Macaca fascicularis: one gene and its partner. The protein of the gene in region 1 interacts with the protein of each later gene in a pairwise test. Links are inferred from orthologs where the notes say so. Each region holds a gene or a part of one and is shown in the gene's direction. Other genes may lie near its edges.

What was found. The genes of interacting proteins can lie anywhere in the genome.
Region 2: the proteins of CRK (region 1) and DPPA4 interact in binary tests that used the Homo sapiens proteins (3 or more experiments, as listed by UniProt). The two-hybrid records come from large-scale screens. The link is inferred for Macaca fascicularis from reciprocal best matches to the Homo sapiens genes CRK and DPPA4.

Annotation. Positions count from the first base shown.
Region 1 is NC_088390.1:1,561,061-1,569,404, reverse strand, and holds the start of CRK (adapter molecule crk), read left to right. Parts: upstream 1-3,945; 5' UTR 3,946-4,089; coding exon 4,090-4,330; intron 4,331-8,344. UniProt on the Homo sapiens protein: Involved in cell branching and adhesion mediated by BCAR1-CRK-RAPGEF1 signaling and activation of RAP1.
Region 2 is NC_088376.1:173,736,939-173,744,777, forward strand, and holds part of DPPA4 (developmental pluripotency-associated protein 4), read left to right. Parts: intron 1-1,700; coding exon 1,701-1,861; intron 1,862-1,947; coding exon 1,948-1,998; intron 1,999-3,894; coding exon 3,895-4,183; intron 4,184-5,897; coding exon 5,898-6,096; intron 6,097-6,943; coding exon 6,944-6,980; 3' UTR 6,981-7,839. UniProt on the Homo sapiens protein: May be involved in the maintenance of active epigenetic status of target genes. May inhibit differentiation of embryonic cells into a primitive ectoderm lineage.

The DNA of each region.
Region 1 (8,344 bases):
GATCACTGCAAGCTCTGCCTCCTGGGTTCACGCTATTCTCCTGCCTCAGCCTCAGGAGTAGCTGGGACTACAGGCGCCGCCACCACGCCTGGCTAATTTTTTGTATTTTTAGTAGAGACGGGGTTTCACCGTGTTGGCCAGGATGGTCTCGATCTCCTGACCTTGTGATCCGCCCGCCTCGGCCTCCCAAATTGCTGGGATTACAGGCGTGAGCCACTGCGCCCTGCCTGACTGCTTTTTTTTTTTTTTTTTTTTTTTTTTGAGACGGAGTCTCGCTCTGTCGCCCAGGCTGGAGTGCAGTGGCCAGATCTCAGCTCACTGCAAGCTCCGCCTCCCGGGTTCACGCCATTCTCCTGCCTCAGCCTCCCGAGTAGTTGGGACTACAGGCGCCCGCCACCGCGCCCGGCTAGTTTTCTGTATTTTTTAGTAGAGACGGGGTTTCACCGTGTTAGCCAGGATGGTCTCGATCTCCTGACCTCGTGATCCGCCCGTCTCGGCCTCCCAAAGTGCTGGGATGACAGGCTTGAGCCACCGCGCCCGGCCGCTTTTTTTTTTTGAGATGGAGCCTCGCTCTGTCGCCCAGGCTGGAGTGCAGTGGCCGGATCTCGGCTCACTGCAAGCTCCGCCTCCTGGGTTCACGCCATTCTCCTGCCTCAGCCTCCCGAGTAGCTGGGACTACAGGCGCCCGACACCTCGCCTGGCTCGTTTTTTGTATATTTTTAGTAGAGACGGGGTTTCACCGTATTAGCCAGGATGGTCTCGATCTCCTGACCTCGTGATCCGCCCGTCTCGGCCTCCCAAAGTGCTGGGATTACAGGATTGAGCCACCGCGCCCGGCCTGCTTTTTTAAAATGTAGATTCCTGCCACCCCTTCCTCCCACTTCCTATCTCAGAAATTTGAGGGTACAGCAGAGTGACCATGCTGTCTCTCCTTCCAGGATTTGAACCCTAGCTCCTCACTGTGCCAACGTGTATCTCTGTACACGTTACTTAAACTCTCTGAGCTTCAGTTTTCTCTTCTGTATGATGGGGATACTTGTCAAAGAAGGTGGTTGAGAGGATTAAATGAGATGATGCGTATGAAGGCAGTCAGCACAGTGCCTGGCAGACGGTCATCTCTGAATAAATGTTAGTGGTCCTGAAACGCTTATGGAGTACCTCGTAGACTAGCTGCTTGGACTTTAAGGACATACACAGAACTACAAATGAAAAATTACAGTAAAATGGGTAAGAGCTGTCATGGGAATAATTTGGACGTATTGCTGTTGATGGAGAGGGAGTGATAGGGTGGTTAAGAAAGGGGAGACGGCCGGGCGCGGTGGCTCAAGCCTGTAATCCCAGCACTTTGGGAGGCCGAGATGGGCGGATCACGAGGTCAGGAGATCGAGACCATCCTGGCTAACACGGTGAAACCCCGTCTCTACTAAAAATACAAAAAACTAGCCGGGCGAGGTGGCGGGCGCCTGTAGTCCCAGCTACTCGGGAGGCTGAGGCCGGAGAATGGCGTGAACCCAGGAGGTGGAGCTTGCAGTGAGCTGAGATCTGGCCACTGCACTCTAGCCTGGGCTACAGAGCTAGACTCCGTCTCAAAAAAAAAAAAAAAAAAAAAAAGAAAGGGGAGACATTCGGGCCGGGCGCAGTGGCTCACGCCTGTAATCCCAGCAATTTGGGAGGCCGAGGAGGGCGGATCACGACGTCAGCAGATGGAGACCATCCTAGCCAACACGGTGAAACCCCATCTCTACTAAAAAAAAAAAAATACAAAAAACATTAGCCGGGCATGGTGGCGGGCGCCTGTAGTCCCACCTATTGGGGAGGCTGAGGCAGGAGAATGGCGTGAACCCAGGAGGTGGAGCTTGCAGTGAGCCAAGATGGCACCACTGCACTCCAGCCTGGGTGACAGAGCGAGACTCCATCTCAAAAAACAAAAACATAAAGAAAGGGAAGACATTTGAATTTGAGACTCCAAAGTGGGTAGAAGAGCATTCCAGGCCAGGCACAGTGGCTCTCGCCTGTAATCCCAGCACTCTGGGAGGCCGATGTGGGCGGATCACGAGGTCGGGAGATGGAGACCATCCTGGCTAACACGGTGAAACCTCGTCTCGACCAAAAATACGAACATTATTAGCTGGGCATGGTGGCAGGCGCCTGTAGTCCCAGCTACTTGGGAGGCTAAGGCAGGGAGAATCACTTGAACCCGGGAGGTGGCGGTTGCAGTGAGCTGTGATCGCACCACTGCACTCCAGCCTGGGCGTCAGAGCAAGAATCCATCTGAAAAAAAAAAGAGAGACTATGGCTCAATTTTATGCTCTGAGCTAACCTGGGAGTTTGAACACCTGAAGACTGTTAAACGTTTTACACAAGGTAGCAACACATTCAGATTTGTATACATATATACTTTTTTGAGACAGGATCTCCCTCTGTCGCCCAGGCTGGAGTGTAATGGTGGGATCTCAGCTCACTGCAACCTCTGTCTCCCGGGTTCAAGCGATTCTCCTGCCTCATCTTCCTGAGTAGCTGGGATTACAGGCAGCCACTATCACGCCCAGCTAATTTTTGTATTAGTAGAGACGCGGTTTCACCATATTGGTCAGCCTGGTCTAGAACTCCTGACCTCAGGTGATCCGCCTGCCTCAGCCTCCCAAAGTGTTGGGATTACAGGCGTGAGCCACCGTGCCCAGCCAGATCTGTATTTTAGAAAACTCAGTGGGAGCTGTTTGCAGTGCAATTAGAGGCAACCAGACGAAAGGGCACCAGCGAGCAAGCCACTCATAGGAACACAGTCCAGAGTGACCATGACGGCAGTGAAAGTAGGAGATGCCCCTGGCTACAATTTAGTGTTTAGAAGTATCTGGGCAGGTGACCCCAAAGCCTCAAAAGAGAGGAGAACTCTGTACTTCACGTGGCTTGGCACACTCTGCTCCCTTTGCTTTGAATGTCCTTCCCCTTTTGTCATTCAGCAGTCAACACATGCTACCTCCTCTGGGAAGCCCTCTTGGATTACTCCGCAGACTGGATGGAGGGGGGCTCTGCTCTGTGTTCATGTCCGTTTCCCATGATAGCGCTTGTCAGCATTTGTCATCCTTTTGTCATGCAGTTTCCTGGTTCCTCTCACTGGTGTGTGAGTTTGAGGAGTGCAGGGCCCAGCATCCATCACCTTTGCACCCGCAGTGCAGGTGGAGTGTCCATAACAATGTCCTGAATGAATCAATGAAAATGAGAACGTCAGCCGGCCTGTGGAGAAGCTAGAGGAACGAGAAGAAACAGACCGACATGGCCGGGAGCGATGTTTCTCGCCTGTAATCCCAGCACTTTGGGAGACCGAAGCGGGTGGATCACCCGAGGTCAGGAGTTCGAGACCAGCCTGGCCAACATGGTGAAACCCCCGTCTCTACTAAAAATACAAAAATTAGCCAGGCGTGGTGGCGCTCGCCTGTAATCCCAGCTACTTGGGAGGCGGAGGCAGGAGAATCGCTTGAACGCGGGAGGCGGAGGTTGCGGTGAGCCGAGATCGCGGCACTGCACTCCAGTCTGGGCGACAGAGACACCGTCTGAAAAAACAAAATAAGAAAAAGAAAAGAGAAACAGACTGATATCCCAGGAAGCCTGGCCGAGAACTGAGGCCCCAGGGCCACACGCGTCTTTTCTCCTGCAATCCTGTCTGGGAGCCGCCGCCTAGAAGTCCCGGGCAGTCCGGGAACGCGAGCCTGAAGCAGCACCGCGCGGTCGGCGGCGCAGGCGCACGTCTCTGCGGGAGGCCGCGAGGCCCCGCCCCCGGGCCCTAGACCCCGCCTCCCATCCCCCTCATCCCCGGGCCGGGCAGGGCGGCACCGCCCATGAGGCCGCATGCGCAGTGCGCGCGCGAGGGCGCCTTGCCCTTCTCCCAATGGCGGGCCGCGGGCCCCTTCCCGGCAGCCTCCCTCGGGCAGGGAGCGCGTCATTTCCGGTGGGGAAGGCCCGCGGCTGCCGCCGCCATTTCGGGCGCTGCTGTGAAGCTGAAACCGGAGCCGGTCCGCTGGGCGGCGGGCGCCGGGGGCCGGAGGGGCGCGCGCGGCGGCGGCACCCCAGCGTTTAGGCGCGGAGGCAGCCATGGCGGGCAACTTCGACTCGGAGGAGCGGAGTAGCTGGTACTGGGGGCGGTTGAGTCGGCAGGAGGCGGTGGCGCTGCTGCAGGGCCAGCGGCACGGGGTGTTCCTGGTGCGGGACTCGAGCACCAGCCCCGGGGACTATGTGCTCAGCGTCTCAGAGAACTCGCGCGTCTCCCACTACATCATCAACAGCAGCGGCCCGCGCCCGCCAGTGCCGCCGTCGCCCGCCCAACCTCCGCCGGGTGAGGGACTGACGGGACGGGGGGCCCTGGGCGGGGTGAGGGCCGCGGAGCTCCCAGCCCGGCTGGCTGCTCCTTGAGAGCGGACCCTCGGGGTCGTGGGCAGAGGGCTGGGTGACCGTGGCAGGGGCCCGCCGGCTGCTGGGGCTCATTCCCACCCGGGGAACAGGAGTGTGGGGGAGGAGGAGCCGCGGACCGAGGCCCCGGGGTGTGCCTGGGAAGGGCAGCCCCGGGGAAGGGGAACTGCTTCGGCCCCAGGGTGGGGCTGGCTCCCGGGCCAGGCGCAAGGGTAGGGCAGGGCAAGGCAACGTGGGGACAAAGAGCTGAGGGAGATGTTGGCACTGCGGGGGCATCACTTGGCAGCGGCGCCCAGAATGAATCCGATAATCCTACAAGTGGCTTTTGGGCTGGAAGCGTTTCCTGCCGTGTTGGAGAGCCGGGTTTGGCCGTGCTCCCCTGGTGGCCTTTGGTAGGAAGTCACCACAAACTGGCCGGGAGGGATGGAGACACCCTCAGGAAACCGGTTAGTTTTTTCCTTTCTTGGGCATTTTTCCAAAATCCTTGTACCGTCCTCTTCCCCCGTGGAGGACGAAGGTGGTGAATTAAGTGATAGAAGAAAGCCTTCAGTGACCAGCCCAACCCAGTTTAAGGCGATGCCTGGCTGCGTGCAGGACATCTAAGCGTCCAGAAGACTGTCCGCCGGTAGAGGGTTCTGGTTTTCAAAGTGTTTAGTGGAGGAAAGACATTTTATTCCAGAGAATAAACCAGAAATGAGGCAGTGGAAACAGACCCTTCCCTGGATGTGACTGGAGCTTCATTTTCCTTGGACTTAAACATTGTCAGTGTGTACTTCAGGGCGTGACCTTGCTCAGTAAGATGGGGCTGCGGGCTGAGTCTTCCTGGATGCTGGGAACAGACTCTACGCCAAGAACATAAATTACCTGCGCTGGGTTTTTCTTGCCAGGGATCCCTGAGATTGACTGTCTTTCCGATGCCGTTGGAGTTGATTTGGGAGTGTTTCAAGGGAATAGATAGATGCCCTTAGTACTGGAGATTTGTGAGGTACGAAGTAATTCTGGGGTTCTCATTGTATGTGTACCTGTTTAACAGCATCAGGAGTCCTCGTGCCTTCACACTGTTGCCAAGTCGAAGCTGTTTCTTCTTGGCCGCTGAGACTGGGTTCAGACTAGTCTCCTATGAATCAGGAAGCTCCTGAGCCATCCTCTCTAGACTTTCTCTTGTAGGATCGTTCTAATTTAGATTTACTTGTTCCGGCCAGAAATGGAGAATTGAATAGCCAGTCTCTTTGTTATTAACACATACCAATTTTTATTTTACTTTTTCCTGAGACGGAGTCTCGCTCTGTCGCCCATGCTGGAGCGCAGTAGCACGATCTCGGCTCATGGCCACCTCCACCTCCCCGGGGCTCCCGGGTTCAAGATTCTCCTGCCTCAGTCTCCCGAGTAGCTGGGATTACAGGCACCCACCACCACAACCAGCTAATGTTGTATTTCTAGTAGAGACAAGATTTCACCAGATTGGCCAGGCTGGTCTCAAACTCCTGACCTCAGGTGATCCACCCTCCCAAAATGCTGGGATTACAGGTATGAGCCACCGTGCCTGGCCAACACATAACCAATTTTTTTCTTATTTTATTTATTTATTTATTATTTATTTATTTTGAGACAGAGTCTCTCTCTGTCACCCAGGCTGGAGTGCAGTGGCGCCATCTTGGCTCACTGCAACCTCCGCCTTTTGGGTTCAAGTGATTCTCCTGCCTCAGCCTCCTAAGTAGCTGGGATTACCAGTGCCTGTCACCACGCCCATCTAATTTTTGTATTTTTAGTAGAGATGGGGTTTTACCAGGTTGACCAGGTGGGTCTTGAACTCCTGACCTCAGGTAATCCACTCGCCTTTGCCCCCTCAAAGTGCTGGGATTACGGGTGTGAGCCACCGCACCCAGCTTTGTTTGTTTGAGGCGGAGTTTCACTTTTGTTGCCCAGGCTGGAGTTCAGTGGTGTGATCTCAGCTCACTGCAATCTCTACGTCGTGGGTTCAAAGGATTCTCTTGCTTCAGCCTCCCTAGTAGCTGGGATTACAGGCACACGCCACCATGCCTGGCTAGTTTTTGTATTTTTAGTAGAGATGGGGTTTCACCATGTTGACCAGGCTGGTCTCGAACTCCTGACCTCAGGTGATCCGCCCGCCTCAGCCTCCCAAAGTGCTGGGATTACAGGTGTGAGCCACCACACCCAGCCCAACACATAACTATTTTTAGAAAATGAGTATGGGGTCTATAAGTTCACAAATTATTGTAGATCTTTCTCATTCTGGCCAGTTTAATGGTGTTATGAGATGGGAATATTGATGTACCTGTGTTGGCCCTGAACCAGATATATGCTACTTTGATGCCACCTGCGTGGTATCTGGGGTTTTGCATTATATGTAGTAACATGATGGCAAACTTACTGAAACTCACTTTTCAGCCTTTTGTTTGTGTTTGTTGGTTGCCAGAGTTGAAAATGGCAGCCGGCAGGTTTGTTAGCTTGATATTTTTTCACATCTTAGCATAACGATTTTTATATCTCAAGCCTTACTTGGATAATGGAGCACCACCTTTTCAAAACAGATAAGAACTCAGTTCCTTGGCCCAGGAAAGAAGGTGAAGATTGCCAAAGTTTGTGGATGGGGTGTGGAATATTCACGAGTGTTGTGATAATTCTGCCATATTGTACCCCATTTTCTACGATTCAGTTGCTGTCTTTTCTCTCTTCTGAGACAGGGCCTTTGTCTCTCAAGCTGGAGTGCAGTGGCATGAACACAGCTCACTGCAGCCTTGACCTCCCGGGCTCAAGCCATCCTCCCACTTTAGCCTCCTGAGCAGCTGGGACTACAGGCATATCCACCATGCCTGGTTAACTGTTTAACTTTTTTTTGTGGAGATGAGGGGTTTCACTGTGTTGTCCAGGCTAGTCTCAAATTCTTGGTCTCAAGAGATCCTCCCGCTTCAGACTCCCAAAGTGCTGGAATTGCAGGTGTGAGCCACTGTGCCTGGCTCAGTTGCTGTCTTGTTTGTTTGTTTGTTTGTTTTTTGAGGCAGAGTTTTTTTTTTTTTTTTTTTTTTTTTTTGAGACAGAGTCTGGCTCTGCCGCCCAGGCTGGAGTGCAGTGGCCGGATCTCAGCTCACTGCAAGCTCCGCCTCCCGGGTTCACGCCATTCTCCAGCCTCAGCCTCCCAAGTAGCTGGGACTACAGGCGCCCGCCGCCTCGCCCGGCTAGTTTTTTGTATTTCTTAATAGAGACGGGGTTTCACCGTGTTAGCCAGGATGGTCTCGATCTCCTGACCTCGTGATCCGCCCGTCTCGGCCTCCCAAAGTGCTGGGATTACAGGCTTGAGCCACCGCGCCCGGCCGAGGCAGAGTTTTTACTCTTGTCTCCCACGCCAGAGTGCAATGGCGTGATACTGACTCACTGCAATCTCCGTCTCCCAGGTTCAAACAATTCTCCTGCCTCACCCTCCTGAGTAGCTGGAATTATAGAGGCCCACCACCATGCTCAGCTAATTTTTGTATTTTTTAGTAGAGATGGGGTTTCGCCATGTTGGCCAGGCTGGTCTGGAACTGCTGAACTCTGATGATCCACCCGCCTCGGCCTCCCAAAGTGCTGGGCCTGAGCCACCGCACCCGGCCTGTCTGTATAACCTCAGAATTACTTTGTACCTCAAGTGCTAAGTGCTTTGTACCTCAAATCTCAAGTGCTAAGTACTGAATCTTTGTTTTTCCTCTCACCAAGTCCTTTTGAAGTCACACAGAGAAATTTCTTGAATTTTAAAGAGGCGTATACAATATTAATAACTAATGTTTATTGACTGGTTATTCTGTGCCAGGTACTTTGCTTGAGTACTTTATGTGCCTTATTTCACCTGCTGTCTAGGACAGTCTGGTGAGATAAGTAATATGATCTCCATTTATTAAAATATTCCCATTTTATACAGGAGGAAACACTCAGATTCAGTAAC
Region 2 (7,839 bases), on another chromosome or scaffold:
CCCCGTCTCTACTAAAAAATACAAAAAAAAAAAAACTAGCCGGGCGAGGTGGCGGGCAACTGTAGTCCCAGCTACTCGGGAGGCTGAGGCAGGAGAATGGCGTAAACCCGGGAGGCGGAGCTTGCAGTGGGCCGAGATCCGGCCACTGCGCTCCAGCCTGGGCGACAGAGCAAGACTCTGTCTCAAAAAAAAAAAAAAAAAAAGAAGTAATATGTACACAGTAAACCCTACTAACTCTAAGTGTCATTACAGGCTGTGTCTTTTTTTTTGAGACACCAAGACAGGGTGTTGGTCTGTCATCCAGGCTAGAGTGTGGTGGCACCATCTCAGTTCCCTGCAACCTCTGCCTCCCTGGTTCAAGCGATTGTCCTGTCTTAGCCTCCCAAGTTAGCTAGGATTGCAGGCGTGTGCCACCATGCCTGGCTGATTTTTGTATTTTTAGTAGAGACGGGATTTTACCATATTGGCCAGGCTGGTTGTGAACTCTTGGCCTCAAGTGACCCATCTGCCTTGGCCTCCTAAAGTGCTGGGATTACAGGTGTAAGCCACCAGACCCAGCCTTAGACATTTTTTTGGCATGATCCTGGCCCACTAAAACCTCTGCCTCCCGGATTCAAACAGTTATCCAGCCTCAGCCTCCCAAGTAACTGAGATTACAGGCATGTGCCATCATGCCCAGCGAATTTTTTTTTTTTTTTTTAGTAGAGACAGCATTTCACCATGTTGGCCATGCTGGTCTCAAACTCCTGACCTCAGGTTATCCCCCCACCTCGGCCTCCCAAAGTGCTGGGATTACAGTGTGAGCCACTGTGCCTAGCCAAATATCTTTACTGAATGAAGACAAGGTATGTGAGGTGCAGAAGCAGGATGAACAGAAACACAGCTCAGCTAAGGAAGCATACCTGCTATGAAACCAGAGTGCTGCCCTGACTAGGGTGGGCTGGCAGAATTAGGAATATTAGTGGTTGCCTGTGTAGTATTGTCAGGTGTTGAGTTTGCTCTGTGTGTAGAGGACACCACTGAGTATGATCTCAAGTCTAAGACAGCGGTAATTCCCCTCGGGTGGAAGTGCCATCTCTGGTGCCACCACCTGGGTTCTGTGGATTAAGGGGTTCACAAAGGTATGATCTCAAGTCTAAGACAGTGATAATTCCCCTGGGATGGAAGTGGCATCTCCGGTGCCACCACCTGGGTTCTGTGGACTAAAGGGTTCACAAAGGAGCACGTGTACCTGAGTAGTGGGGAGATTGAGGAATAAAACTGGGATTTAGAAGTGGTAAGTCCTAGGTTTGAGAGGGATTGAACTATTAATAACTAAAACTGATTTTAGGCCGGGCGCGGTGGCTTAGGCCTGTAATCCTAGCACTTTGGGAGGCCTAGGTGGGCAGATCACAAGTTCAGGAGTTCGAGACCAGCTTGGCCAACATGGTGAAACTTCACCTCCACTAAAAATAGAAAAAAAATTAGCCGGGCGTGGTGGTGGGCATCTGTAATCCCAGCTTCTCAGGAGGCTGAGGCAGGAGAATCGCTTGAACCCAGGAGGCGGAGGTTACAGGGAGCCAAGATTGCGCCACTGCGCTCCAGCCGGGCGACAAAGCAAGACTCTCAAAAAAAAAAAAAAAAAACAGTGATTTTACTTTTGAAATTCTGAAAAGGTACACAAAGTTAATTACTACTAATTTGATTCCATTCTCCTTCAGTGCTCTGTCCTAAGAAGAAGGCAGAGTGCAGTGACAACCCCAGACCTCAGAGGAAGATACCAATCCCTCCATTACCCTCTAAACTGCCACCTGTTAATCTGATTCACCGGGACATTCTGCGGGCCTGGTGCCAACAATTGAAGCTGAGCTCCAAAGGCCAGGTGAGGGCCTAGGCTGGGGATGGTACTGCTGGGAGGAAGGGTAGGAACCTTACTTGCCTTACTAACTCAGTTTTCTGTTGTCTTAGAAATTGGATGCATATAAGCGCCTGTGTGCCTTTGCCTACCCAAATCAAAAGGTAACTTTTTAAAGGATGTACGTTTCAGTGCTTATCCTAATTACCTATTGTAGCCTCAAAAGTGAGTAAAGGAGCTGTCTTAGCCTCCGCTTGTCCCTCCACCCCTAGTTCTAAGAAAGAACAGTATTTTCCATGCCTGCTTTCCTTTTTTTTTTTTTTGAGATGGAGTCTCACACTGTCACCCAGACTGGAGTGCTGTGGCACCATCTCAGCTCACTGCAACCTCCACCTCCCGAATTCAAGCAATTCTCCTGCCTCAGCCTCCTAAGTAGCTGAGATTACAAGCACCCGCCACCACGCCCAGCTAATTTTTTGTATTTTTAGTAGAGGTGGGGTTTCACTATTTTGGTCAGGCTGGTCTTGAACTCCTGACCTCGTGGTCTGCCCACCTCGGCCTCCCAAGGTGCTGGGATTACAGGTGTGAGCCACCGTGCCTGGCCTTCCATCCCTACTTCTCACCAAGTCTGCAAAGAATAATAAAAATGAGGCAGCCCAGCCTGGCCAACATGGTGAAATCCTGTCTCTACTAAAAATACAAAAATTAGCCAGGTGTGGTGGTGCATGTGTGTAATCCCAGCTATTCAGGAGGCTGAGGCAGTAGAATTGCTTGAAACCAGGAGGCAGAGGTTGCCGTGAGCTGAGATGCACCATTGCACTCCAGCCTGGGCACAAGAGTGAAACGCTGTCTCAAAAATAAAAAGAGGCAGCACTTAAATTTTTTTAATTGACAAAAATTGTATATTTTTATCATGTACAGCACATGGCTTTGAAATACGTATACATTGTGGAATGGCTAACTCAAGCTAATTAATACATACATCACTTTACATACTATATTATTATTATTATTATTATTATAATTATTGAGACAGAATTTCGCTCCATGCATCCGCTGCCTCCCGGATTCAGATGATTCTCCCGCCTTAGCCTCCCGAGTAGCTGAGATTACAGGTATGCGCCACCACACCTGGCTAATTTGGATTTTTAATAGAGACGGCATTTCTCCATGTTGGTCGGGCTGGTCTCAAACTCCCGACCTCAGGTGATCTGCCCACCTCAGCCTCCCAAAGTGCTGGGATTACAGGCGTGAGCCCCACCGTGCCCAGGTTTTCTTTCTTTCTTTTTTTTTTTTTTAAGACAAAGTTTCGCTCTTGTTGCTCAGGCTGGAGTGCAGTGCGCAATCTCAGCTCACTGCAACCTCCACCTCCTGGGTTCAAGTGATTCTCCTGCCTCAGCCTCCAGAGTAGCTGGGATTACAGCACCTGCCACCACGCCTGGCTGATGTTTGTATTTTTAGTAGAGACAGGGTTTCACCATGTTGGCCAGGCTGGTCTAGAACTCCTGACCTCGTGATCCGCTCACCTCGGTCTCCCAAAGTGCTGGGATTACAGGCGTGAGCCACTGTGCCCGGCCAGCAATTTTCTTTCTTTCTTTTTTTTTTAAAGACAGAGTCTCCCTCTGTCACCTAGGCTGGAGTGCAGGCTCACTGCAACTTCCGCCTCCCTGGTTCAAGTGATACCCCAGTCTCAGCCCCCTGAGTAGCTGGGATTGCAGGCATGAACCACCACGCCTGGATAATTTTTGTATTTTTAGTAGAGATGCGGTTTCACCACGTTGGCCAGGGCTGTTCTTGAACTCCTGACCTCAAGTGTTTCACCAACCTTGGCCTCCCAAAGTGCTGGGATTACAGACCTGAGCCATGTGCAGCCAACTGTGCAATTTTCAAGAAGACAGTACATTGTAATTAACCAAGTTGTACAGTGGATCTCTTGAACCTAGACCTCCTGTCTAAGTGAAACTTTGCATTTGATCAAGAACTTCTTAACTCTGAGGCCATTTATTTTTGTTAGAATTTTAATCTTTATTTTTATCTTTATTATCTAACCCTTTCTGTAGGATTTTCCTAGCACAGCAAAAGAGGCCAAAATCCGGAAATCATTGAAAAAAAAATTAAAGGTGGAAAAAGGGGAAACGTCCCTGCAAAGTTCTGAGACACATCCTCCTGAAGTGGCCCTTCCCCCTGCGGAGGGGCCGCCTGCCCTGGAAGATTCCACTGCTCTCCTTGAGGGAGTTAATACAGTTGTGGTGACAACTTCTGCCCCAGAGGCTTTGCTGGCCTCCTGGGCGAGAATTTCGGCCAGGGCGAGGACGCCAGAGGCAGTGGAATCTCCACAAGAGGCCTGTGGTAAGCCCAACACGAAGAGCTTATTCTGGTCCAGTGGGGAAATAAGCTTAGTAGAGATTAATGCCTGATATATTTTTAGGGTATATCAAAATGCCTTTGAGGGCCGGCGATTCCTGGACCCTGCCCACAGAGTTTCTAATTCAGGTCTAGGACAGGACCTGAGCATTTGCATTTCTTTCTTTTTTTTTTTGAGACAGAGTTTCGTTCTTGTTGCCCAGGCTAGAGTGCAGTGGTGCGATCTTGGCTCACCACAACCTCAACCTCCCGGGTTCCAGCAATTCGCCTGCTTCAGCCTTCCTGAGTAGCTGGGATTACAGGCAGGCGCAACCATGCCCGGCTAATTTTGTATTTTTAATAGAGACGGGTTTTCTCCATGTTGGTCAGGCTGGTCTCAAACTCCTGACCTCAGATGATCCGCCTGCCTCGGCCTCCCAGAATGCTGGGATTACAGGTGTGAGCCACTGCACCCAGCGAGAGTTTGCATTTCTCAGTTTTCCGGGCAGCAGTAAGGATGCTGGTCTGGGGACCACAGTTTGAGAACCACTGCTTTAAATGATTGATGGCATCAGAAGAGGATAGCAGTTTGGTTTTCTTTCTTTCCCCTTTAAGCAATTTTATTTTATTTTATTTTTTTTTTTTTGAGACAGAGTCTCGCTTAGTCGCCCAGGCTGGAGTGCAGTGGCGCGATCTCGGCTCACTGCAAGCTCCGCCTCCCGGGTTCACGCCATTCTCCTGCCTCAGCCTCCCGAGTAGTTGGGACTACAGGCGCCCGCCGCCTCGCCCGGCTAATTTTTTGCATTTTTAGTAGAGACGGGGTTTCACAGTGTTAGCCAGGATGGTCTCGATCTCCTGACCTTGTGATCCGCCCGCCTCGGCCTCCCAAAGTGCTGGGATTACAGGCGTGAGCCACCGCACCCGGCCTAAGCAATTTAAAAGTAAGATCTAAAATTAATTGCCTGCAGCTGAGCCCCAGAATGGCATTAATAAGTTATTTAAAATATTTCCCAGTGTTTTCATTGTAAAATGGGCGACACCTAGCTTATATGTTGTAAGAATTACAGAAAATACAACAAAAGAAGACAATAAACTGTTTAGCACAATCCAATGTGTGTTCAGAGCTGGGGCCCCTGAGCTTGTTTCATGAAGCCCTTTCCAGACACTCTGGGTTAGTCTTTCTACCATCTGCCCACCTACAACTATACTACTTCCAACTAGATTTATTTATTTGTTTGTTTGTTTGTTTATTTGAGACGGAGTCTTGCTCTGTCGCCCAGGCTGTAGTACAGTGGTGTGATCATGGCTCACTGCGAGCTCCGCCTCCCAGGTTCACGCCATTCTCCTGCCTCATTCTCCCAAGTAGCTGGGACTACAGGCGCCCGCCGCCACGCCCGGCTAATTTGTATTTTTAGTAGAGACGGGGTTTCACAGTGTTAGCCAGGATGGTCTCGATATCCTGACCTCATGATCCGCCCGCCTTGGCCTCCCAAAGTGCTGGGATTACAGGCATGAGCCACCGTGCCCCGCCTAGATTTTTAAGTTTTAACAGGAACTGTCTTGTATGCTTTTCTAAAGGAGAACAGAATAGAGAAGAGGTTAAGTTAGGATTTCAGGGTTCACATCTTGGAGTTGGTCAATCAAGGGTGATGGGCCATAATGCAGCCTTACTTCGGTATGTCATCCTGGTGTGTGGGTGCCTGTCTCTCTCCTTCGCCAGGTGTCAGGTGGTGTGTGGTCCATGGGAAAAGTCTCCCTGCAGACACAGATGGTTGGGTTCACCTGCAGTTTCATGCTGGTCAAGCCTGGGTTCCAGAAAAGCAAGAAGGGAGAGTGAGTGCACTCTTCTTGCTTCCTGCCTCCAATTTTCCACCCCCGCATCTTGAAGACAATATGTTGTGCCCCAAATGTGTTCACAGGTAATTACCTGATGCTTTTCTACAAACTAAAAGTGGGTGCTGGATTTTCAATTGCAGAAAGTCAAGATACACATTAATCTTATATAGCCATGTATTTCAAGCTCAAATTGTCAGTAAAGAGTTTCAAGAAAATCATTACTCAGTTAAGTTTATCCCCAGGAAACAGAAAGCATTTCTGTGTCAGGGTTTAACGCTTCTACCTGGAGACACAGAATTCTGGGAGCAACAAACATTGTATAATTACTATATTCAAAGTGTATGCCCTACACAGAAATAATGACTAGTAGAAAAGCTCTTCCTTTAAGTAGCCTACAGTCTAAACAGGGATGGTGCACATACAAACACCTGGAATAACGTCAATATCAAAGAAGAGATTCCTTAAGTTAAGGGAAGAATTGACTAGATCGGTAATTTCTCAGCCAGGGAAACATAGCAAGACCATCTCCCACAGGAGGAAGTGTGTGAATGTGTGATTGGCTTTTCCTTTGGGATATCCTGCTTTTTGCTGTATTTTGATAATCTCTCTATGCCAAGCAAGTTGAATAGAAGTGAGGAGGTCACTTTGGGTAGTCCTTTAATGACATACTTGGGTTTTTGGGAAAGTGATGCAAAGAGCCCCTCCAAGGTCTCTTGTCCATGGTTCGCACAAGTCGGGGAACATATTTCAGAGGCATGCTAACTTGGCTAATGATCTTCATTCTCGAATGACAGCGTCATAGGCTTGTTACCTATGATCCTAAAGTTGTAAGGGCAATTTCAACAGCATTCCAGCAACGGGTTTCTTGGCTATTTTTGATATTTCTTGATTCTTAACTTTTTGAAAACAAACATTTTATTTGCTTTATAGGAACAAGGTCTTAATAAAAAGCCTCCAATGGGAATAGAATATCAGGAAAAAGGCCACATCTATGGTAATTAATGGCAGAAAGTCTGGAGAGTCGGATTCCGCGGGGCTGCTGACAGGTGAACTCTGGTCCTCTGCACACCTGTTTATGGACCATGCAGACTGGTGGGGTGGCAGATGTTAGCCTAAGAGCCCTAGCAGTGCCTGTTGCTTTGTGAGTGGAGATAGAGACTCTCAGATTTAAAAACGGAAAAACATTTCGCAAATTACCATAAATTGTAGCTAATATATAGAAAAACTCATTCGTACTACTTTTCTAAAATAGACATGACTTCAGCAGCAGCTCTGTTTTGTTTTGTCTTTTGAGACAGTGTCTCACTCTGTTGCCCAGGCTGGAGTGCACTTGTTCAATCTCAGTTCAGTGCAATCTCTGCCTCCTGAGTTCAAGTGATTCTCCTGCCTCAGCCTCCTGAGTAGCTGGGATTACAGGCACCAGCCACCACACCCAGCTTTTTTTTTTTTTTTTTTTTAAGTAGAGATGGGGTTTCCCTATGTTGGCCAGGTTAGTCTCGAACTCCTGGACTCAAGTAATCACCCGCCTCGGCCTTCCAAAATACTGGGATTATGGGCATGAGCCACTGTGCCTGATCTTCAACAGGTCTTTTAAGTGAGAAGTTCTTCAGCTGAGCATTGTGAAGGAGTTGAGTAAAACTCAACTGGCTCTTGTGCTCAATTTTCTTTTCCTCTGAACACTGACTACTTTAGGAGCTGCTTCATTCCAATTGCAATTTCATAAAACATAAAGTATTTTAAGGCAAATAAAGGCTGTTAATTCTCTCCCTTCCTCAAACACATGATTTTTAATATTCGAAACAATATTTTTCAAAGTTCTCTTAACC